3 linked regions of the Neodiprion lecontei genome follow. The protein of the gene in region 1 interacts with the protein of each later gene in a biochemical or structural test. Links are inferred from orthologs where the notes say so. Each region holds a gene or a part of one and is shown in the gene's direction. Other genes may lie near its edges.

What was found.
Region 2: the proteins of general vesicular transport factor p115 (region 1) and golgin subfamily A member 2 form a complex in vitro, tested with the Homo sapiens proteins (2 studies listed by BioGRID). The link is inferred for Neodiprion lecontei from reciprocal best matches to the Homo sapiens genes USO1 and GOLGA2.
Region 3: the proteins of general vesicular transport factor p115 (region 1) and syntaxin-5 form a complex in vitro, tested with the Homo sapiens proteins (2 studies listed by BioGRID). The link is inferred for Neodiprion lecontei from reciprocal best matches to the Homo sapiens genes USO1 and STX5.

The regions. Positions count from the first base shown.
Region 1 is NC_060260.1:30,779,770-30,788,649, reverse strand, and holds general vesicular transport factor p115, read left to right. Parts: upstream 1-2,482; 5' UTR 2,483-2,558; coding exon 2,559-2,636; intron 2,637-3,238; coding exon 3,239-3,467; intron 3,468-3,560; coding exon 3,561-3,817; intron 3,818-4,154; coding exon 4,155-4,356; intron 4,357-4,485; coding exon 4,486-4,637; intron 4,638-5,312; coding exon 5,313-5,503; intron 5,504-5,724; coding exon 5,725-5,897; intron 5,898-6,002; coding exon 6,003-6,430; intron 6,431-6,538; coding exon 6,539-6,719; intron 6,720-6,796; coding exon 6,797-6,984; intron 6,985-7,465; coding exon 7,466-7,853; intron 7,854-7,941; coding exon 7,942-8,150; 3' UTR 8,151-8,631; downstream 8,632-8,880. Other genes in the region: NADH-ubiquinone oxidoreductase 75 kDa subunit, mitochondrial, read right to left, coding at 8,866-8,880. UniProt on the Homo sapiens protein: General vesicular transport factor required for intercisternal transport in the Golgi stack; it is required for transcytotic fusion and/or subsequent binding of the vesicles to the target membrane.
Region 2 is NC_060261.1:34,113,720-34,121,675, forward strand, and holds golgin subfamily A member 2, read left to right. Parts: upstream 1-2,316; 5' UTR 2,317-2,724; coding exon 2,725-2,763; intron 2,764-2,950; coding exon 2,951-3,043; intron 3,044-3,150; coding exon 3,151-3,846; intron 3,847-3,944; coding exon 3,945-4,140; intron 4,141-4,241; coding exon 4,242-4,407; intron 4,408-4,491; coding exon 4,492-4,633; intron 4,634-4,748; coding exon 4,749-4,943; intron 4,944-5,061; coding exon 5,062-5,283; intron 5,284-5,361; coding exon 5,362-5,547; intron 5,548-5,622; coding exon 5,623-5,874; intron 5,875-5,953; coding exon 5,954-6,332; intron 6,333-6,407; coding exon 6,408-6,608; intron 6,609-6,734; coding exon 6,735-6,928; 3' UTR 6,929-7,263; downstream 7,264-7,956. Other genes in the region: COP9 signalosome complex subunit 9, read right to left, coding at 1,433-1,470, 1,594-1,666, 1,922-1,990; 60S ribosomal protein L35, read right to left, coding at 7,405-7,636, 7,789-7,925. UniProt on the Homo sapiens protein: Peripheral membrane component of the cis-Golgi stack that acts as a membrane skeleton that maintains the structure of the Golgi apparatus, and as a vesicle thether that facilitates vesicle fusion to the Golgi membrane.
Region 3 is NC_060262.1:35,648,218-35,656,267, forward strand, and holds syntaxin-5, read left to right. Parts: upstream 1-2,032; 5' UTR 2,033-2,178; coding exon 2,179-2,548; intron 2,549-2,819; coding exon 2,820-3,076; intron 3,077-3,394; coding exon 3,395-3,595; intron 3,596-3,666; coding exon 3,667-3,788; intron 3,789-3,871; coding exon 3,872-4,031; 3' UTR 4,032-6,853; downstream 6,854-8,050. Other genes in the region: zinc finger protein 502, read right to left, coding at 1-1,124, 1,391-1,558. UniProt on the Homo sapiens protein: Mediates endoplasmic reticulum to Golgi transport.

The DNA.
Region 1 (8,880 bases):
TAAATTAATTACCGATACGAAGAATAAAGGTATTCGTCACCATCCGCAAGCTGCAAAGAGCTAGCATGAAAAGCAGAACCAGATAAAACAATAAAGAAGTGCCAGAACTTTGTAGGCGCAAGTTAGGTTTAGTATTGCGTAAGTTTTGTCAAATTTTCACCGGAACTAACGCGGATAACTGACACACCGCATCCAAACGACTCGTCAACTTGATCGCTTTGTTGCATCAGATTTCGCTTTTTCACGCCGAAGGCCAACTTATAGGAGGTGACTCACGCAAAGCAACGTGAACGTTCCACTATATTGCAACAATTTTGATAATATCGTCGGAGGTAGCGGTTTTAATTTCTACGAATACCGAATGATACGCAACGTCGTGTGACGTCATGCGCCTAATCATACAACTTCATAGATATTTATTTCATTATGTATACCTAATATGTAGACACATGTATTTTTACAAACGAGCAGTCATTTATTCTTCATTACGAATTTTCTGGAACATATTATAGTTAAATGGATTGTACTTATAAACAGCCGCAGAAAATATATTTTGAAAGTAAAGCCTGCAGGCAATCAATCTATCAAATCTCTATCCTTACGATACCTAGGCATGAGGCATCTTATTTTTTGTTGTTTCATTTTTCTCTTATTTTCTGAACAAGAGGTCACATAGATCCACGCAAGGTGAGGTCAGGGACTGCCTGAAATGATGCAAAGGTATCAGTGGGGTGAAAACCTGAGAAGCAAGAACCACTGCTAACTGTAACTATATGTATAATATTAGAAGACTAGACTCTGGTTTCTAATGCTTCGCACGATGTGTAACGCATTTGCTGCCGGTCTTGCAGCCAGTTTTCGGGATTATATGTATATGTATGTTACATATCATGTGCATAGAGTTGCTGTCAAGCGTTTGTTGTAAACGTCATTGTTGTGTCACTCTGTCAAGTGTGACCAAGCTGACTACGTGCACACATGCAGATATTCGCCTTGACAAGTGTACGTAAATAACAGTTTCAGCGATCGTTTTGTACACGTGCCACCATTTATTCGGAAAATACATAGATTGCTCGTTTCTTGTACCTTCTGTTTATCTGTACAGTATATACATACAAGGGTGTATTTATAGCTGCAGCAGTTGATACCGATGACAAAATTACGAATAAATGGTATTAAGAATGCCAAAAAGGACGCAGAGTCCAAACGCGTGGATCGGATTAGCATTTGCACTTTTTCTTTGCTTTTTGTACGTTGGCCATACCATGCATAAACAAAAGAATATAAAAAATTGATTACCGGGAACTCAGGCGGTTCCATCAAACTACGTGACTAAATGAGCACGTGGAGCATCGGCTACGTAATTAATAGAGATTGAGCAAATCGTCTGTAATGGTGAAAAAAATAATATTCATGAGTTCGATTAGCTGTCGTCTATAAATGGCTTAATAGTTAGGAAAACAAATATGGGCTTTTACCTCATATTACTCAGACAGAAATCAATTAGCGACTTTTGTTTTTTATAATAAAAATTCATTGGTCAATAGTTAGAATGCGATGAGTACAGACTTGTAAACAAATGTAAAGTGCAAAGCTATGCAAATCCGCATTTTTAAAAGAGAAAAAATTTTTCATCAACCACACATGAACAGATACTTCGTACCGTTGTCAACCTTCTCATTTTATGGCAATAAAATCAATGGTCACACCGTTCAAGTTTCTCGTTTGTAATCGTTAATATTTTTCGAGAACTGATTGTGCGGAGTACGGTTATTTCTTGAATTTATTCTAGGCGAAATCAACCAGTCGAACCGAATAATTAACAAGCTTTGAGGCAGAATCGGACATGCAAAAGTCCTTTGAATGTCATCGGTGCTGTGCATCAGCTGGGGAACCGGGAGACCAGCTGTGGATACAGCTGATGAGGTGACATTGAAAGTAATACCAGTTCATCGCGACATCCTTTGAAGTCGTTGCGAACTAGTCAGGCCAGCCGAACTCATTCGTGGTCATGGTAATAATATTTTTTACGAAATTCTGAAGTTTCAAATATTGCGAATTTGATTTGAAACGAATATTCTATTACAGAATAACGAAGTAGTTCTTTGCATTTAAGCACGGCAAGTTGTAAAACATTTTTTTCCTTATCCTTGTCTGCAGTGATGCGAACTACTCTATCAGCAAAAGATGTGTAAAATATATGACTTATTTATTTCCTCGAGAAGCGACGCGCGCGGAACGACTTCTTTTCAAATCCTCTAATTCTATCGATACATAGCTTTCATCAACGCAAGACCGAAGATGAGGTCGGCGGCTTGTTCACATAGATTATTTTGTTGATTCCAAGTAAACAATTTTGGCCCCAGACCGACTGTGAACAACTCTGGAAGATTCACGGGGTGCCACCTATTGATAGGCTAGTTCTTGAACTACTCAATTACAGCCGATACTACAGAGTACATACCGTCTTGTACACCCTGAGAGCCGCTATCTATTTTCCAAAATGTCTGCGCTGTGTGACGTGTAGTTTACATTGAACAGTGCAAATTTAAAAAAACATGGAATATTTCAAAAGTGGGCTAAAATCTGTTCTCGGTGCACCTCCGCCCGGGAACCAGCCGTCCGGTGCTGACACCGTAAGTATATTATAAATATTTTTCAGCGTCGTTGCCACAAAATACTTAGCCAATATGTGCTGTCAAATTGTCACATTTGTTCATTCATAATCTTGTCGTTTTTCGAGTCACCCGGTTTCCATGTAATTTTCCTCCTGGTCCACGTGATAAGATCTTGAGCTTCAATTGAACATCATGAAAGAAGAATATTTGAAAAGCTGTTGTAACATCTGTCTGATATTCGTTGCAGTACGACTCATGACATCCAACCACCTTCGACAGTCATTTTTATCGTTTGAGAATTTCCCAGCTCAATTAGTTGATATGTTTCACTTTTATCTGAAGTTTCGTAACGAAAGTGCAGCTGGAAATCGACACATTTAATGTAATTTCTGTTATCTAAATGTGTCTGTCAATACATATCACAACCTCAAACTTCTGTCCACTTATAACATATATAGCTGAATAATGAAAATTCCAAAATGAGTAATAACGTTCATATCAAGCCTAGGTCATAAACCTTCATACGGATTGCCCATTAGCGATATTCAAGTTGTCAATAAAAGTGAATTGTATTTTTTCCATTGACTACGAAGAAGTTTTCATTTGACTTCTGACCACAGGTAGAACGTTTAGTTGATCGCTTGCAATCGTCAAGTTTGCTGGACGACCGAAGAGATGCGTGCCGTGCATTGAAAGCACTTTCAAGAACATATCGTCTGGAGGTTGGTACACAGGCTATGGATGCACTTAGGCAAGTGCTTGAGATGGATAGAACAGATTGTGAGATTGTTGGTTTAGCAATGGATACTTTGTGCAATATTACAAGTCCTGAAACATTTGAGGCTGAAGGTAATAGATGAAACTAAATAAATGTTTATCTAGTGAAATTATGTGCAAATTTATGTAACTATACTTCTTTATTTTATACAATTCGATTTTCAGTTGAAAATTATGGGCCCAAGAACAAAATCGGAGAACAATTTACAGAAATATTTATCAAACAATCAGACAGCACTACTCAAGTTTTAGCATTTTTAGAGGAATTCGACTTTAGAGTTAGGTGGCCAGCCCTCAAGCTCCTGACACATTTATTAGGTAATCGACCAAAGGACATTCAAGAAATAATTCTTGTCAGTCCATTGGGAGTTTCAAAGTTAATGGATCTCCTCAGTGACAGCAGAGAGGTGATACGCAATGATGTAAGTGTACTTTTATTATTCTGATATTCAGATTTGCACAAGCTACATCATTATGTTTACACAGTGACACAAGACTATCGTCCCATAGGCTATCAATGTATTCCTCCTGAAAATCTGCAATTAAAACGTTTTTCACCTTTGATAGGAAATTTGTCTTTAACGAATTACAGCCAAATTGGCTAATCTGGCAGCATCCAGCATGACTAGAGAAATAAAAATCGTTTCAGACGCAGATTTTCAAAATAATCACATTGATATTCTACGGGCCTATAGTCCTGAGTCACCTTGTATACTAATATCATTAACTCCTGCAATCAAAACTTCTTTCAATTCACAGGCACTATTACTGCTCATACAATTGACTAAAGGTAATGCAAATATCCAAAAGATTGTTGCCTTCGAGAATGCATTCGATCGTATTTTCGATGTGATATCCCAAGAAGGTTCAGCAGACGGTGGTATTGTGGTCCAAGATTGCTTGTTGCTAATGTTAAATCTACTACGAGGAAACATCAGTAATCAAAACTTTTTCAAGGAAGGTAAGGTGTTGCAACTTACTGTAACTCATAAGGTTTTCAATCAGTTTCTGAGATTTTTCTGCCAGTCTACAAAGAAAAAGACTTCTCTTATCTTCAGATTTTTTAATGAGATTATTACTGTTCCAATAGGAAGCTATATACAGAGACTGACACCTATGTTTGATTTGCCACCGGAAACTGATGAGAATCCATTAAGTGGCTGGAGTCCTCAAAAAGTTTGCAATATGCATTGCATGGTACAAGTTATTAGGGCATTAGTTGCTCCCGGTGGTCCAGCACAGGTAATTTTGGATAGAATTGAACCAAAAAGATGTGGGTAATCTTTAGTAGAACCACATCAAAACTTTGTCAATGAGTTATGACATAATTAGATGTTCTTTAGAGTAATTACGTGCCTTAATTAAAGTTTAGGTGCTCGATGTTTTTCGAAAAAAACATCTCGTATCTCTTCATTATGTTTCTTGCCAAAATTGATCAATTATTCAAAAAGCACTATAATTACAACCATGTTGACGTATAATTTTAACATGAAACGATTGTGGCTAGTTTCAAGGCGAGGAGACAGTACGTTCATCAGTTATGGCTAAAAAACCTAGTAACTTCGCATTATTTTTTCTGTAAGAAATATCAAGTTCTTGGAGAATACTAAGAAACAGGAGATTAAGAATTGGATTATGATTGAGCATCATACGTAGACCTTTTCACTCACTGTTAATTATTGCCTGAAAACAAATATTTTCTGCATCAACCGATTTCCCAAATTCTTTTTATCTAATCGCTTTCTAATAGTCCTCTGCTACTGTGACGTCATATCGTACTTCATTGTTGGTTTCTCTTCCATAACTCTGATAATATTATTCACGTGCCAGAGGATTACTTCAAATGATACAATTTCATAAAATTGTCAATGAATGGTTAAATCGTGTTATTGTTATAACTATTCACCATGTTTAAAGGCAACAGCCGCTTGTCAACGGACGATGAGGGCATGTGGTTTACTTCAAGCTTTGTGTGATATATTAATGGCCAGTGGAGTTCCTGCTGATGTGTTGACAGAAACTATCAGTGCAGTTGCTGAAGTTATCAGAGGGAATACAAGCAATCAGGAATTTTTAGCTAGCGTTATGGCCCCTAGCAGTCCTCCTAGGTAAGCACCTCATAATTACATACGAAGTTAATCTCTGAAATTAAAGTGTGATAATAAATTGAAAGATAATGATTCCTCCATAATATGTTTTTTCTCAATGTATTCCATATCTTGTCAAGTAGTCACAGAATAGTATTCAAACATACACTACTCAAGAGTGATACCTAATCGAAATATGCTTTTTTCCATCAGTAGTCTGTTCAATTTTCTATTTTCCACAGGCCTGCTATAGTTGTTCTGCTAATGTCTATGGTGAATGAAAAGCAACCATTTGTTCTTCGCTGTTCCGTGCTTTATTGTTTCCAATGTTTTCTATATAAAAATGAAGTAGGACAGACGCAACTTATCCAGACACTCTTACCACAGGGTAACGAAGCAGCATCTCTCACAACAGGTATAAATCCAGTTACAATACATGGAAAATGTATATTCCAATCAATATTGTCATAATTCGTTTGACTATACATTTTTTGGGTAATCTGTCATCCATTTCTCAAAGGACAACTATTGTGTGGTGGCCTATTTTCGTTGGATCCCTTATCAAATTGGTTTTCGGCAGTGGCTCTGTCTCATGCCCTAATCGACAATTCGATCCAAAAAGAGCAACTGTTAAGGGTACTTCTTGCTACGAATATTGGCAAGCCGCCTGTTACATTAATGCAACAATGTGTCATGCTTCTTCAACAAGGAAATAAGACACAATGTAAACTGGGGCTTTTAATGCTACTTTGCAGATGGGTGTCGCATTGCCCACCTGCTGTAAAAGCATTCTTAACTATAGAATCTTCAGTCGCTTATTTGACCGCACTGCTGTCTTCTCAAGAAGATACTGACGATTTGCAAGAGACACTGCTTCAAAGTATGTGCGCTTTATTACTAGGCTTATGCGTACACTTTAATGATGACAGTGTGCCTAATTATACAAAGGTACTGTAGAAGGTTTGAAATATTGACCACATTTCACACTACTTTTGCGAATGCACTTTGACAGTTGAGTGATAATTGATAGGAAGTAAGTATACTTGCATGTTTTAGGAAAAGTTATGCCATTTGATAGAAAATCGACTTGGATTGGAAAGATTTCAGGATGCTATCGGAGGAATCACCCGACATGAAATTTACTCCAGAACTCTTAAACATCCTCAGCCTTCAACAAAAGATCCGTCTGATTTGCTTCTGGACCACGAGTTTTGTAGATTGCTGAAAATTTTGGAAGGTAATATGATTCCACGTAGTACTTTGTTTATAAATGACGGATGTAAAACGATATCTAATTTTGTGTAATCTACATAGGTGTAGTAGTGAAGTCAGTACAGGATGGAAGTAATCCACAGGAGGGCAAGGATCCTACGTCGACATTGTCGCCATCTGATTCTGCTCTGGTGTCACAATATAAAGAGCTTATCAGGGAGCAGGATGCACAAATCCACAGACTTAATCAGACGAACGAAACTTTGGCTAAAGAAAAAAGGGATTTGGAGGTACGTATTGGTTGCTGATGCATTAGGGTGGTGCAAAAAGAGAAAATTCTATTTTAGTCAAAATCGATGTTTTCAGATGACTGTAATGTGTGTTGTAATGATGATAACTATGTTTTCTTATAGAGGTTTGAAAAGCTTGAAAACCAGCTTCAAGGATCTATGCATAAGTTTAAAAAATATTGGATAGTTTACGAGTATTTTAATTTTTAACGAACAGTGAAATTTTCCCATGTTAATTGAATGGGAAATATAAATTAAAATAGTGGCCTATTAGTATTGAGCTAGAGAGTTCATCTTTTGGGAAGATCTTTTTTCTATCAAATACTAGCATTTGAGGGGGTAAGAGCGAAAAAAACGCAATTTTTTTTGAACCACCCTAATGTAGATATTCAATGAATGCAGGTGTGTGTGTATATATATATATATATGAATTTTATGCAGCATAATCATTACTTCTTGTACATTTTACTCTCATTTGCAGACCCAAGTATACGAGCTACAGACTTCCATCAGTCACTTGAGAGACCAGAATTTAGTTCTACGTGCAGCTCAAATAAACTTAACAGAAGCCAAGGAGCTTGTGCCATCTGTAGATACTATTGATCTTACAAATGTAGAATTGGAGAAATATAAAAATACGGTTCGAGATTTGGAAAACAGGCTAGCCGAATGCACGTTGAATTTGCAAAAACAAGAACGAACAGAATGTAATTCAAACAACAGTGAATATGAAAAATTGTTGAAGGAAAAAACATTGGAACTTGAAAAAATGAAAAAGGATCAGGAAAATTTGTTAGAACTTTTAACAGAACAAGATAGCAAACTGATGCAATATAAAGAGAAACTGGTTGCGCTAGGTGAAAAAGTAAGTTTGAAATACAACTTCCGTTACTTCTTGAGGAAATATATCAATCAGTTGTGGTATTTTTATTACAATTGTTTAACATCTTTTTCCAGATCGAATCAGACGAAAGTTCAGGAGAACTCGATACCGACGAGCAGCCAGAATCCAGCAATTAAAATATTACCGAAGAATGTTTAACTCAATCACGGGAATAAATTTTAGATCCAAAATGAAAGAATTATTCATTATTCATGGCATCATCTCTTCTCCATTTAAAACTATATTTAATCAGAATTACCTTGATCAAAGTATTTTTTATTAATTATATTTGTTAATTGGTCACGTTATTCTATTCCTATCTTTACAAATTAAATATTTATTGTGTACTTGTAGTCTCGTATAAACAATTACACATCAAATTCATTGAATTATTCTGGTTCGTTCAGTTGTTAGAAATTTGGTAGCTATTGCACGGGATTTATGAAGCAAATGTTTGGAACTTATTATTGGAAAGAGAACTTCTTTATGTTGTTTATTCATTTTGACAAATCTTATATTGAACAAGGCCGCTATACACATATTCATTTACTAAGGTTTCCATGTTCTAGACACACCCTCATGAGGAAATAGCCTAATGGAAGAAGCATTCCTTTTTTCAAAACTTTTCATGCTTGCTAAATTTGGTTTTACATGATTTGGAAACAAAGTCTCACATAGTCTTCATTCCGAACACGTCAAACAAGTTTTTACGGTGAAAGCAATCTTGGATACATGCAGTAGAGTTCCATTTCTATTTGGGTGTATATTGACAAAAAAAATTAAGTGCATAACAATAACTTACGAGTCTATGATATAAATATCTCAACTATTAGAATCTCTGGTGTAGAATTCTGTTACAAACATGTCGGAATTTATGTTGATGATGTTGTTCTCTATTTCTTGCATGTGGTTGACAGTAATAATGAGACAATTCACATGATAATTAATTTTATTATAACAGAATCCTATACTATATACATAAATACGTCAAGCTAAGTTTATAACTGTGCCTG
Region 2 (7,956 bases), on another chromosome or scaffold:
TATGTACTATAAATAACACAATTATAATCTTACATTAATATTATTACATGTATAAAATATATCTATACCACTCATTTTCTTATGGCACGTTTATGATATCTGTGGTTCACAGCAGGACGCAATATAGCAAAGGAATACAGAGAGAGGTCTAACTAATTTGAAGTGAATAAATTGTAAAATTATTACAAGTGACTGTATATTTTTTTTTTCTTCAATTCAAGTTTTTAATACATTTTTATTATTTCTGCGTAACTTTACTATTCCGGATATAGAATGCCAAATTTTTATTTGAGCGCAATTTTTTCCGTTAGAAAACATATTTAATTCACTTGATATGGAAAATTCATTGAACTTTAAAAGATTACTTGTAGAAATTTATTTTATGCATACTGCTGTATCGATTTTGCGTATTTTATTGAATTAGTCTTTTACCCAAAATAGGAATTTATGTTGCAGTTCCAGTAATACAAAGTAATCATTAGCTACTTATTAATAATTAATATTCTTCAGTTTAGAAATTGTTATTATTAACAGGATTAAGTGTGATACGATTATTTAGAAATAGGTATTTACGTAATTTCTCTTATTTCCGAAATATTTCAACTCTTCGTTCCATTAATGAGCATCTTGTAAATGTTTAACATGGCTCAATGCGAATTTTGTTTTTGGATCGAAAAAATATTTTTGAATAATATATAATAATTGCAATCTATGATTAGGTTTGTAAATGATTTTAGAGGTCAGCTACCTACAAACATGTGTTACTGACAGTAACTGATCTGATACTGAATATGTATCATGAGGATAGGGTCTGTAAAGCAGCATCTTCGGACATATGTCAGAAAAGTGTATCTTGTACACAATAATTATTACAACATTTCACAAATAGCTGGATTAATTGAATGATTGTAAATAAATTTGGACCTCTCATTTATATTAATTGGTCGTTATTAAATTACTATGTTCATGCTATACTTAAGCTTGTCTGAATTTTTGCCATTATTTAGGCTAATGCAATTTTTAATTTTCAATTGATATATGAGGCATTATATTCTGGCTAGATGTAAATAGTTTTCAATGCCATTTAAACAAATTAGTTTCATCTTTAGTTAACTAGGTTCTTTCTATTATTAGCTACTTCTGGTTAACATGTGTGTGCTATATAGATACATTGCTCAGATTGTCACAGCATCCTAAAATCTGAGTTGTAAAGCAGTTCGTGATATTTTGCTTCATTAAGTTCATAATAATTCTCGCGAAGTGAAATGAATATTCAACAGAGTTATCTAACAATGATGAAACAAATATTTTTATAAGAACAGTTTATTCAGCATTGAGTGTTTCATTTTTTGTAACACAAATCATTATATCGGTATTACTCGAACTTATCAAGTTTGAAAGAATTTAAGACCTTTGTTGATCACAGTGTTCATCAGTTCAGATCCTCATCATCGAACAAATCATCGAAATCTAAAATAAATATAGTGTTTTTATCAATGCACATTTCCTGCAGCGCTTTTATAAAAGAATAAACCTTTTTGGCACAGAGTAAAATATATCTTCATCATTATTTGATACAAAACAAATTCTTACCATTGAAAAAGTCAGCATGCACCGCTTTTTCATTAGCAGCAAGATCCATCAACAATCCACTGGATCCACCAGCCTAAATAATGAAAAAAAAAAAACATCAATAACTTGCAGAGTATACAATTTTTTTTACTACCGAGCAATTTGATCTTGTTTGTCTGGCTGACGGTGTGAGGGTATTGGTCAGTGACGAGCAATTCTAAATCAATGCAATGCAGATATACAATCTAAGTGATCGTCAGCCCAGAAATTAAGTCACGTTTGACAGCTTTGGCACGATGGTTTACGATTTGAACGTATGTAATTTATGTTTTAGAATGTTTAACGGAACCTCTTCAAGATCCATATATGGACCAGCGCCTTCGGGGAACATTTCATCGGCCACAACAGTAGGTTTCATGTCGACACAATCAATTACTTGATTTGAAACAACAATTCGACGTAGAAATAGGATGAAAAATTCATATGCAATTGTTCTAGTTTAACCATTAAGTGTACATACCTATATGGAAACGTTGACTTGAGAATTCGTAATCAACGACAAAAAGAAAGAGATAGAATTACCAAGCAGTGGTCTCATTCTCTGAGTCGGTAACAGTAGGGAATTTCTGTAGTGCGAATTCAACTACAGAAAAAGTGTGCACCGAGTCCAAATTTCCTAGAATTCATCCAATAAACAGGCAAGAAAACCAGTGAAACCACACGTAAACGCACTTGTGAAGTTGAATTTGCCATAAGATTCTAAACTAAACCATTAGCGAAACAGCAGTGCTGCCTTTTATGCTCCGCATTTCGTATCGTGTTTCTCGTTTTCGTCAACGTCATCGTCCTCATAGGTAGAGAGGATCTTCCTCTCTGCCATAGCTTTCTCTTTTTAATCAAGGCTCACTGTGAGGTAGTAGTCCATCTCTATTAGCTATGGTGCACAAACACAAATGACTTAATACACCTGCATATCAGGACAATGTGTGTGAGTGGTGAAGTGGCACGTAGAGCGTAACCTCACAATGTTCTGTCATATTGTAATATTTTGCTCTATGTATTGTAAATAATTAATAGAATAAATATTGCGCGTGGATTCTGCACCAAGTACACTGTTTGCTCTTCGTACAGGTCAAAAACGAACCCTCAAAAATGAAAAAATCTGAAAAACTATTAGCAGCCAGAAAAAGGGTGAGAGCAGAGAAAATATAGTTATCTTTTCTGCGAACTTTTCGCTATTATTCATTACCGATAATTTCTAATCAAATGTTCGTTGTAATTACTTTGTGTAATATTTTCAAAATCGAAAATTGTAATGTACACACACAACTCACATGAATTAGTATCACATACTATAATGGATATTTCTGTATCATAGCTCAAGGAATTCCAAATGAGTAAAAGAAGTCACATGGCAGATGATACTTCAAAAGATGTAAACGAAAATACAGAAGAATCTACTCCGTCACAGGTGAAGAGAATTTCCGTTGTCCTTATTTAATCTGAACGAAGGTAATACCTTCATTAAAAAGTTTGATCTCTAACCATTAACATGGGGTTTACTTTATGTTTGTACAGATCGACAATACTCTTTATAACTCTGATAATAATTACAACTACCGGAAAATAGGGTCCCCAATAAAAGAGACTCAAACACCATCAATAGACAGCCAAGTTTCTGAAGCCCCTCAGCAAACTTCAGAATCGCATGATTTTTTGGAATTCAATTCCAATGGTGATATCACTTCTGCTGCTACAAAGCTGGTGAATTCTTCAAATCCTACTAGCGTTTTTCAAGACACTGTTGATTTCACTGTTCAAGAAAAACTGTCGGAAGGTTCCAGTATTATATCTAATTTCACAAATCTGACAGATGATGTTTCTAATAAACATCAAATTAATGACAATCTGATTAATGTTGAGAATTATTTTACCTCTCAAAATATAACGAATAAAACAGATGAAATTGATTTAGAGCAAGACATTTTATTAAAAAACGAGACACACAATGTAAATGCTCATGCAGAGTCAACTAATAATCGCAGTGGTTTACATACTGAGTATGAATCATTGGTCGGATCTCAGGCGTTGCAGAAAGAATATCTACTACAGATGACATCTGCCGTCACAAACATATTGTCAAGTGATATGGAGAGTAAAGACGTGCCACAAGAACTTACCTCTGATTTGGAAAAGAGAAATCAATTCTTGGCATTCTGCTTGCAAGAACAAAAAGAACTTGTTAACCGATTACATCTTGAAGTCAGCCAATATGTAAGTTTGGTGAAATCATTGGTTCAGACCAATTGACCAGCTAAAATCTTCATATTAAAAAATTATACAATTTCAATGAATTTTTTTTATATTCACAGAGGACGAGAGTGTCAGAACTAGAAATGATAATGACTACAAAGGATACAGAATTTGAAGCAAAGCTTTATCACGAATTGAATCCACTCAAAGAGCAATTACAACTTCATGCACAAACAACTGGCATTCTTGTAGGAGAAAAAGCTGAGCTTACTGCTGCCCTCGTTCAAAGTCAAACAACTACCAAGCAAAAAATTGGTAAAATTACTTATATTTTGTTAATATAGACTTGGTATTACACGCTAAAAGTAAAAATTTTATACAGTATAACAGATTGATAATCAATTACTTTTTATCAGCTGAAGTCGAAGAATTAAATGGAAAATTAAAATCGGTCCAACTCCAAGTCTCTGATTTAGAAAGGGAACTGAATTCTGTGAAAAATAGTAGCGAAGATGTCGGAAAAGTGAATAACCAGCTTCAATCTAGCTTCTACTCTTTAGAGGCGAAGTATTCTCAAGTGAAGTAAGTTTGCGCAGTCATGGGCCCTCATTATTAGTCTTTTATGACATATCATTGGATCTTTATTGGACGTTTTTATATTCTAAGACAAGAAAAAGACGACTTGGAATTAGAGACCGCTGAATTAAGGCAGAAATTAAATGTTAAAAATACTGAGTTAACTAACATTCAACAAGAATTGAAAGAAAAAACTGCCTTACTGTCCTTGAATGAACTCCGAATACAACAGGTACTTACAGTTTATTATAATCTCTATTCGGAACTCTATGATCAGACCTAAAATTGACCCGAAAATGTAGTGGAAATTAAGTGTCCAGCATGCCATATTCCAATCTAATACCTAATTACAGATGACTTCTACGACACAAGAAACCCAAGGTATCAGTGAGCAACACCATGTAGTAGCCGCACTGGAACAGCAGTTGAGCCAATTAATGGAAACTCTTAAAGCTGTCAGTAGTGAACGTGACGAAGCTAGTAACCATTACCAAAATTATGTTCAACAACTGAACAACCAAGTTACCACTCTTGCTCTGAAGGTAAGCCAACACGAATTTGCAATTTTGATTGCTGTTCTTAAATTATATTTAAATTGCAACGCTGATTACTGCAAATATTTTTCTGTTGCATCTTATTCATTTATTAATTATTTTTTAGCTCGAGCAAACTACAAAGGAGAATGCAGAAATAAGTAGTCGAGAGCACAGCCTTATTCAACGGTTGTCCGATCTAGAACGCCAAATACAAAGTCAGAAAGAAATACCTGAATCTACACCTCCTGTTATCAATGACAATAAAGAGCGAATTGATGAGTTAGTCAAAAATATTGATCAACTCACTTTAGAACGGGATAGTCTTCGAGCAACACTTCATGAAAAGGTGATTTAACTTTCTGGCTGAACTACAATAGTCCTCTAGAATGAAATTGAATATTTTACTTTGTTTTCTTCCATCTAGGATTCAGATATCGATGCACTCAAGCAAGAAATGGAAGAGTTGCAAGAAATGCGTGCAAGCAATGCTGAGGCGTCCCGTTTAGTCTCTGCTCTAGAAGGTGAAAGATTAGCGGCAGCTCGGGCTGTCTCTCAAAATCAACAGTTGAAACAGCAGTTGAGTGAAATGCAAGATGCTTTCGTACAACTTGTAAGTTAATTTAGAATAATTATTTAGTACATTGTCAAAGAAGCACAGTTTGTGAAAACAATTTTTTCACTATAGAGCAACACAAAACTTGATTTGACGGAGCAGTTACAAGGAGAGAGGTCGATTGGAAGAAAATTGAATGCTCGGTTGAATGACACTGAAAATGAAGTACAGAAATTGAAAGATGAAATGCAGGAAAAGGATTTACTCATGGCTGAGTTAGAGAAAGAAAAATTACACATGGCTCAAATTGCAGATCAAATGCAACACTATCAAGCTCAGTCTAATCAGGCTAGTACCTTGCAGCAAGAACTTCACAATGCGCAGGTAAATGTGACTAATTGGAACCATGAAATGTGCTTGTATACAAAATCAATTTGTTACCAATACAAACATTGGAATTTAGGAACGGATCGAAGTTTTAATGAAAGAAAATCAACAATTGATCAGCGAATTGAATGCTGGGACGATGTTGAATGATTCAACCGTTCAAAATCAAAACATTATACAGCCCAATGGTGAGTGTAACTTGCAAGCATTGAATGACGTGGAAAAACTAAAATTATCAACAGCAACAACACAGACTGACAATGAGTCGTATAGTATTGGTGACACGGCCCCGCCAATTAGCGAACAACAAGCAATGATGTCAGTTTCGCCCGAAGCTGTGAAAAAGTTGGAGGAACGATTTAAACATACTATGGAACGTGTTGCTGAACTCTCAGACGAAAAACAAAGATTGGAACATCTCGTTTTGCAGCTTCAAAGTGAAACCGAAACTATAGGTTAGCGTAGCCACACTGAACCGTTATATTTCAGGTGTAATAAAACCAGGATGTATAATTAAACATCTCTTTCAGGCGAATATGTTACATTGTATCAAAAGCAGCGTGGTGTCCTTCAAGAAAGGGCTAAAGAAAAGGAGGAAGCATTCCGCCAGTTGACAGAACAACGAAACACACAACAGGAACAGCTGCATAAACTCAAAATGCTTGTAGCTGAATTAATTAAAGAGAAAACTACGTCTACCACTACATCTGCATTATCGGATAGTACAAACGGTATATATTAATTCCTGTATTCAGTCCACATTGCTATTTCGATTACGGATTCTAAATGTTTGTTGGTTTTCTCGAATTTTTTTTTTTTTTTTATACATTGTTTCATTTTTAACATGTGTCTTCTAGAAGATGGTCTAGAAGCAAGCAAACACGTGGAAAACAAGACATCCTGTCAATCGGAAGTAGTTGCAGTCAAAGATAAAACTACGTCTCAAATTCTTGATCTTCTGACGGAAATTAAAGAATGCAAGGATACGTGTGCCTTGGAACCTAACTTCCATCCATGCCCATGGTGTTCAGGAAACTTGATTACAATTTAACCTTAAAACCAGTCATTAACTTATATTGCCTTAAAATTATTCAACTCTCAATTATTATGATTACTATAAACATATTCCTAAACAGAACATGTCAAAATTGTACATAAAATGTTGAAGTATTTCATAAATTTATACAATGTAGTACTTTCTTTTCAGTTTTCCTTTGTTCACTAACTTGCTTGTTTGCCAACTTATCGGCAGACTAAAAGTTATGAATTAAATTTTTTTTAAATTTACTCTCATATATAATTATTTCTAGGCTTTCAACAACAAAAAGTTCATTAATATTTTGATTATTTAACATAAACGGGTTGCAAGTAAATGTGAGCATTAAAAATAGCCGCTGGTCTTGTTGATGAATAAATTTACAAAGGAAAGGAATTGAAATGAGATATACACAAGTTAAATAAACTACCATAGAATAGTTTTATTGATAAATTTTGTTTTAATTTTTTGAGTAAGAAATTGAACTGTGTTTAAGCTTTCACGGCATATTTCCTGATGGGGAATGCAGATCGCTTGCGAATTTCTTTCAGAGTCTTACGACTCGCCTGGTAAGGAGTCAAGGCCCTGCGAATTGCTCTGGTCTTCTTTGGCCTCAAGTCTAAGGGCTTGTACTTCTTATTCTTGAACAAGCGTCGTAAATTCTCCTTTTGATACTGGTGCATAACAATGTACACACGAGCAATAGCTTTGCGAACGACGCGACTGAAGGTAAAGAGAAATTCATTGTAAATTAGGCAGCTTTAGTCATTCATTACATTTGACAATAACAGTAAACCGGCTACTACTTATCACATAAATATAACATAAGTGATTCAGAGCGAAAGATTAAACTATAAGGGGTTAGAACAGCTTACATTTTTGAGAGTTTGGAAGCGGCACCTCCTGTCACTTTGGCAACTCTCAAATTCGTCAATTCAGTTTTGAGCTCATCGAGCTGTTTGAGCAACTCCTTCTTGTCTTTCCTCCTCAGCTCGGAGCACTTGACCTTACCCTGAAATATCAATAGAACACTCACATAACGT
Region 3 (8,050 bases), on another chromosome or scaffold:
TTGCATTTCATTTTATAATTTTTTTTATCTGTTTTCTGTTTGTATATCGAAATGTCAATGTCTTTCTCTAACTTTTCCCCTTTTCTATCAGTATCTATTGCACCACAGTTATTATCAATATCAACTCTGTTATCATTTTTCAAAGAATCATGATTATCTGACACATGATTCTTCAACTTTGCAACAGTAGAAAATTGTTTGTCACACAAGTAGCAAACATATCTCAATTTAGTTTTGTGCTTGTGAATGGTCATGTGTCGTTGCAAAGCTAGATTTGTGGCAAAGCTCTTGATACAGTGAGGACATTTTCGTCTGCTGGTTCTCGTGATCAATGGTTTCTCTTCGTCACTATCATTCATTTCTTCATTAAAAATTTGACAATTGTTGGGTTTTAATTTACCCGATTCAGACGAAACATCAGCTTCGTCTTCCCCTTCAGAAAGTAAACTATTTTTTAATTCAAACTTGAGATCATCATGAAAAATAATTTCATCCTGATTGTTCCTCTCTCCTTCTAACAATTCACATTCCTCTGACAATGGCATATCCTCTTGTTTAATGGGTTCTGGTTCAATATTTTGATCTGTCGAATCAATTAATTTACCTACTGTAACACCCTGGTCATCCAGCAATATCTCTGTACTCTCCAAAGCAGATATTATCTCCCGCTGGCTGAAATCGTCATCTTTCTCTATTTGCTTATCAATTGATTCATCGCTCAGGCTTTTGTCCTGCATTTCCTCCTCTTGTGAAGACTCGTTACCACTCATGCACTCCTCACTGATTTCAAAAGCTACTGTACTTTGTTTATCATCAAAATTAGTCAATACTACACGCTTCATCTCTTGTGCAGCTTGTGATTTTGATACACTCTGCATTTCCAATTCCTTTATTCCTGTTTGCTGATTAGGAATTTCGTCAGCAATGGCTTCCGTGATAACATCATTGATCGATTGTGATAATAACTCCTTAGCTGCATCTCCGTTTACTTTTACATTCGATAGCAATATTTTACGTAAAGCAGCATCAGATTTTTCAACCTGACATTTGAAATCATAAGACATATCCAATAGCTGACGACATGAAAAACAAATAACACTTGGGAGACCGTCGCCGTGTTCTACCTGTAAAAATGTTTAAAAATACATTGCCAATAATTTGTAAATTGAATTGTTAAGGAGTGTGAAGTAATGATAGTAGTAGTGTAACAAACAAAATACAAAGAATTGTTTATATTTCAAATGCAGTCTGGGTGGTTGAATAAGCGACGTTTATTGTTACCAACTGATCGAAAATTAGTTCTGACGGCAAATATGAATTGGAAAAATAAAACATGTTGATGATCGTAATATAACAGTGATGATACGGTTGAAAATGCCCAAAAACTAACCTGTATAGCTGCAAACGCCATGATTTTTCTTGGAATATCCTCATCATTTTGGAATAATTCCCAAAACTGGTTGCAATTTTTTAAACAAATACGACACTCCTGGATAGAAGCTAACTGAACTTGCGAAACACATTCGGCTGTTTCTATTTTTTCCACTTCCATTTCCATCACGAAGAAATACTCCGCTGAGCCCCGTCTTGCTGCGCCATTTGCTTGATTTTACTTTAAGTGACGTAGCGCTTAGTAAGGTAGACCGGTGGATGTGTTCGAAAATCTTTCGAACGAAAAGGATTCTAATTTTTCCTGTCTTTCTCTCATTTGGGTTAAAAGAAAGAGATGAAACCATAAGACTTGTAGAACAGTATCGAGCAGCTCCAAACAGTTGAAGTAACGATTATAAAAATAAACACTGCAAATCATGAGCTATCCGGGTAAGTCGTCATTAAGCTATGTATGTTACACGCGACTTAAGTAACGTATCATAACGTGTAATATACATGCTGATTTCAGCCGCGACAGTACGACACTGTTGCTTTGGGAACACCAAAACATCCTAGTCTCCTCAAGCCGTGGAATTAAAAGTAAGATAGCCTGATGTGACAGGCTAACGCGTATCATCTTTAATGAGCGTGAACATTGCCCGTGGCTCAAAGCTGTGAGCTGTCATGTGGTTCAGCAATTTCCAATCTGTTGGGTGAAAATTATATTATATTATACTTGACGTAGTTAATCGCGTGAAGTGTTGCCTGTGATAATACATAGTATATTTGTTGAAAGTTGAGGATGCAATGCCAGCGCGTAGACGACGAGGTGGCTCCGAACACGAAATTGATCCAATGATCACAACCTCCAACAGTGCATATCAAAATCGTGATTTTGGACATCAATACTACAATGATAGAGTTGTTTCTCAACAATTAGATATCAACAATAAACAGCAAGAAGCTAACTTAGTGACAATGACTTCGCGAGACAGGACCAAAGAGTTTGCGAATGCGATTCGCACGATGCAGGGAAGGACAGTGGCGCGAGCCGCTGTTATGAGAGATCCTAGACAGGCTCGTCAAATACAGAGTTATTCCAATTTTATGATGATTGCTAAGAATATTGGAAAGAATATCGCTAGCACTTATACCAAACTGGAAAAACTTGCGTTGCGTAAGATGATGTTCAATTAATATTCATTGGTATATTTGTTACTTTCACTTTTCACACGAATGAAAACAATCTTCTAAATCCTAGCTATCCTTGAAATTTTAAGTAGCTGCAAACAGTTATTGAAAATTTAAATGAAATGACACGAGTTTAAGAATTTTACTGCAAAGAAGAAACTGAAATTTGTTTCAATGAATTTTTCCTTGTATGTTGTAAGGTTTAAAAATAATTCAATATTCGTCTACAACGTCCATGATGTTTCTTGTTATTGTAGTGGCAAAGAAGAAATCGTTGTTTGACGATAGACCATCAGAAATCCAAGAATTGACTTACATCATAAAAGGGGATTTGAATAGTTTGAATCAGCAAATAGCAAAATTGCAAGAAGTAGGTAGACAACAGCGGGAGAGTCTTGGGACGACACGTGGCCATCACCTTGCCTCTCACTCCTCTTCTGTAGTCGTCGCTCTGCAATCAAAATTAGCCAACATGTCTAATCACTTCAAAAACGTTCTTGAAGTGAGGACAGAAGTAAGTATAACATGTTATAAATGCCGTTATAGACTTCATAGTTTCAAACAAATGGATAAAACTTCATATCTAGATTATGGATGTCCAAACTCTGATTATTTCAACTTCTTAGTTTAATGGTTTATCTTCTTTTTTTTTTATTCTATGCTGTAACTTTGAATATAAAATTCATTTGAGCCTCCTATCATTTCTGCTTATTACATTTGTGTAGTTGAAATATTACATTCTGATTTTACTGATATAATTCAATAACTACCAGCCATGTATACATGAAAACATAATAATAGTTTTCCACTAACTTGAAACAAACTTGTGTAGAACTTGAAACAACAACAATGCCGAAGGGAACAGTTTACACAAGGATCGGTATCTTCGTCGTTACCTCCTAGTGCAGTATCAGGGCGTCAAGGTTCCTTGCTTCTTCAAGAACAAGCAAATTCTTCCTCTGTTAGCATCGACTTGGAACCCGCAATGGGACAGCAAGTAATGCAGCGTCAAGCAGTCCTCTACGACGAAACAGTGAGTAATCAATTGAGCTTCTTATCAGTAATTAGAATAACAGACATACTCAAATTGAATTTGTTCGTCAGGATACTTATGTACAGTCGAGATCAGATGCTATGCAGAATATTGAATCTACAATTGTTGAACTTGGAGGAATCTTTCAACAACTGGCTCACATGGTCAAAGAACAGGAAGAAATGGTTGAAAGGTATGATAGCGCTAGAGTTGAACATTATTCCTACAAATTTTTCATTATTGTAATCTTACGATATTTTGTTTGTTCAATTTCAGGATAGACAGCAACATACAAGATACCGAGTTAAACGTAGAGGCTGCGCATGGTGAAATTTTAAAATACTTCCAATCAGTCACGAACAATCGGTGGCTGATGATAAAAATTTTTGCTGTTCTTATATTCTTCTTTATATTCTTCGTTGTCTTTGTAGCATAGGGCAAAAATCCGTCAAAACGATATACTATTATAATTATGTATATTATTTGACCATTTACTTGTATTAAGAACTTATTAAAAAAAATATCTGTTTAACTGACGCGGGAATAACTTTTTTTTTATAAAGTAGGTTCAGTGTGGATATTGTACCATAAGCATCGAAATTGTATATTCACAACTGTTCCGTTTACGGGAAATTAGCTATTTTTAATATTTTATAAATATAACAGAGTATTTGCATTCATATGTATATTATCAAACTATACCGTACATAGTGATAATTACGACAATATTCAATTAAATAATCACATGATAGTTAATTGAATTGTATTATCTTAGAAAAACTATATTTGTACGGTTTAGTTGCTAATATTAAAGTTTTACCGTAATCACCTAGTAAGAATATTCGAGCTTCTAATGCTGAAATATTTTCGCAATATCGATTTATCTACATTAATTTTGAATCAATGTCGCTTAACACGGCCAATCCATCAATTGAATTTTTATGCATCTCCACCTAATCATTGTGTACAGTGAAATACAAGTTATTGAGGCCTTGATCAATTGTGTGAACTGGTATAGTCATAAGACTGCCCTTGACACTTAACCACAATTCGTATACGATTACTTGCGAGTCATGTGTCCCATTATGGATATAACAAGTAGCAACAGTTAATCGCAACAAAATATTACACACAAAATAGTATCTATTCTTGCCTAGCTGGGTGCCTTATATGTATATTCTAAAGGAGTGGCAGTACAATTTCATACGTCAACACAATCGATCTTGGCTTTTACAATATCAATGTAAGGAATGAAGTGGGCCATCATTTCGCAAACTGCGTAACTGCAATTCTGATATTGGCAACTTATACTATTGTATCACTAAATTGTGGTTTACGCGAATGAATAGGCTGGTTATATTTGTATAAAGTATAAAGTTGTTTAGGCAAAGGTTGATAGAAAAATAAAATTAAAATACTACATTATGTATAAAGTTAACGCACTTTATGACATTCCTCAGTACTGTAGTAATTTCACTCAGCAGCTATTACTTATTTTACTCAAACTTGGAATTGACAAACTTGTTTTTCTGACAATAGACGATCAAGATTGAAGTTTTATAGAGATGTAACAGTAACTTTCACGAAATTATTTTTTATAGATTTAAACTCGACTAGGCAAATTAAATCCACATGTTAATTTGTAAAATATTGACGGTAAATTTAAAAAATGCATTTAATAAATGATCGTTTTATGAGCATAATTGTCCCGGATTTCAGTCAAATTCGAAGCCATAACTCGCGAATAATAATAAATTACAATTTATTTTGATTCTTTAAAATCATAAATATACATTTTACAGTGTGATTGTTATACTAAATATTACAAATTTTTTTCAACATGATTTCAATAATCACATTTTATTTTTATACAAATGTTCATATCTCTACGCATATATATAAATATGTATACCTGCTTTCCTTTGAAACGTTCGACTATAACATTTTCTGAAACCATGTAGTGTAAGCTATTTAGTATTTCCACAAAAACTCTTACATGAAGTGATTTGGTATCTACACATTAGCAAGTACGAATTTGCTACAGTCGAATTTCATCATACTCAGACGAAAATTTTCGAACATAGCCACATCCAAATTACGGATAAGTTCTTCAAAGTATTGATAATGCATAATTCAAATTTGAAGTAGCATCATTTTATTAAACGGGAAGAAATCTATGGAATGAAATATTAAACGTATTTCTGGTTCCAGATAAGACAAAAGGCTTAGGCTTTTCCAGTATGATTTGATTTGTCCAGGGAGTCTCCAGAAGAATGTAACGAACCTACAAATAAAATAACAATTTATACATAAACAATAATTCAGATGCACATGCGTATATATAATATATTTGATTCTAATTTGCTTGGTAGCGTATTAGTGATGGTATGGATCTGGTGAATCAAGTAATCAAGTTAGTGCGTTATGTTTTGGAATTTCAAATAACAGTCTGCAAGCAAGAAAGCTTAACCAAGTGTCAAAAATTGATTCTACTTGACAAATGCTTTGATTTTTCCGTTCAGGCAACATTTTTAAACATTGACTCTACTGAAAACCAATTATGAAATGGGATGGTTAAGCAAACTAAGGTGAGTCTGTGCCTTGCATTAAGTGCTATGCGTGGTCCTTAGGACAAGTGTAAGCAGTTGGCTTTACAATTAACCACTAATACGTATACATATAAACACAAAGCCAATAAAAAAACAGAAAAATTAAATAAGTAAGTGCCATTAGTGTACAAAGAAAAGCTGTAATGTTAAAATAGTACTGATTCAATATGTGTAAAGTAGTTAATGTTTCACAACTGAAGATCGATGATAAAGACGTGTAATTGAGCATTCTACTCTATGACGTGGTGCTATATGAATAAATATATTCTGCTCAATAACTGGATTACACAATTACCAACTGCTAGAAAAAAAGTACATAAAGTAAAGATCTAAAATAAACCTGCCACAGATTCTATTTTGAATTATTTCCTTCCATTGTACTCCAAAACTGCCTTACTTTAGAGAAGCGCTTGCGTCCTTGCGTGCACAAATATAAAAATCCAACCGATTACAACATGACGGAAATAAGAATCATTCCAGTTTCCCTAAAGCCGGAGGTGAGGTGATGTGAGTATTTTGTGTGAAAGCTTTTATGCGATTTTTGAAACAAACCTTTGTGATTCCGTACACGCTGCTCACGTTGATGGGGATGGAAAACCGGATTTCGTGTGGGTGGTAATATATCATCCCCCCATGAATGCAAAGTTCCCAAAGGTGGCAAAAATGGAGGAGGCGGACCATGATGATACATATGGGCATGTTCGTTGCTAAATGGTGGCGGTGATCGATGGTTGTAAGAGGGATGTAACGGAGGTGAAAGCGGTGGTGGTGGAGAACTGGCATCTTCGTATCTACCAGGTGGATGAGGAAGAGGTATTGGGGGTGGTGAAGACAGACGTCCTCCTAATGGTGGAGGCCTCCTACTAATATCGTACATTGGTCCCCCTCCAGAATGTGGCGGTCCCGGTATAACGGGATACGGAGGGTACGGTGGGAATGGGGGTATAGGGGGAGGAATACCTGAGGAACCAGTAAACAATATAGGAGAACTTGATGTCTCTGCTCCCAAAAATAATTGAGGGGATGATGCTGTCTCTCCATTCGTCTCCATGCCTGCGTGGGAGTTTTCATTAAATAAACATAATATGTAGCTGTACCCTGTGTATCAGTGACAAGCTTTTACATTATAAAATACGATCAACTTTTACCTGATCCTGATGCTTGTTACTAGTTATAATAGTTCCAAATTAAGAAGGAACTATATTCAATATTTCACAAATTTAAATTTTTTATATGACTTTCAAATACATTTGAAAAAAGCTGAATTCTCAATAAAAGTAAATACTACCTAGCAAAATATTTCATCTGTTGGTCACTAATATTTCAAAGACTTTTTAGATTAGACTTAAGGCTTTTCGATGTCAGGTTTCAAAATATTACATTAGAAGGTCACCATTTGATAAACTAGTATCACGGAAGTATTTGTAAAACTGTCAATACAAAGGGTTTCGCCTCGTAATGTAAGAGTATAAAATATCCAAGTGTTGTCAGAATATTAAGTAAAAGATTTGATGGAAAAGTAACATTACCACTAGAAAAAAATATTCACATCAGAAATAATATACTTACGATGTAATTTTGAATCAGCATCTACTTCATTTATACTTTTCTCCACCAGGGTCAGTCGATTTCGTAATTGGCTGGCTTCAGCCTTCGATTCTTCCAAGCGTCGTTCACTTTGTCGAGCGATTACCTAGAAATTATAATAATAATAATGGTAAAAATCCTTTAGAACTGATCCTTATGATTAGAATATTTCAGAGATATAATGTCATGCATTAAATTACCCATTGTTCATGCGATTTTGTTTCCAAGGCTGAAATCTGACTCTTATATTCCCGTTCTT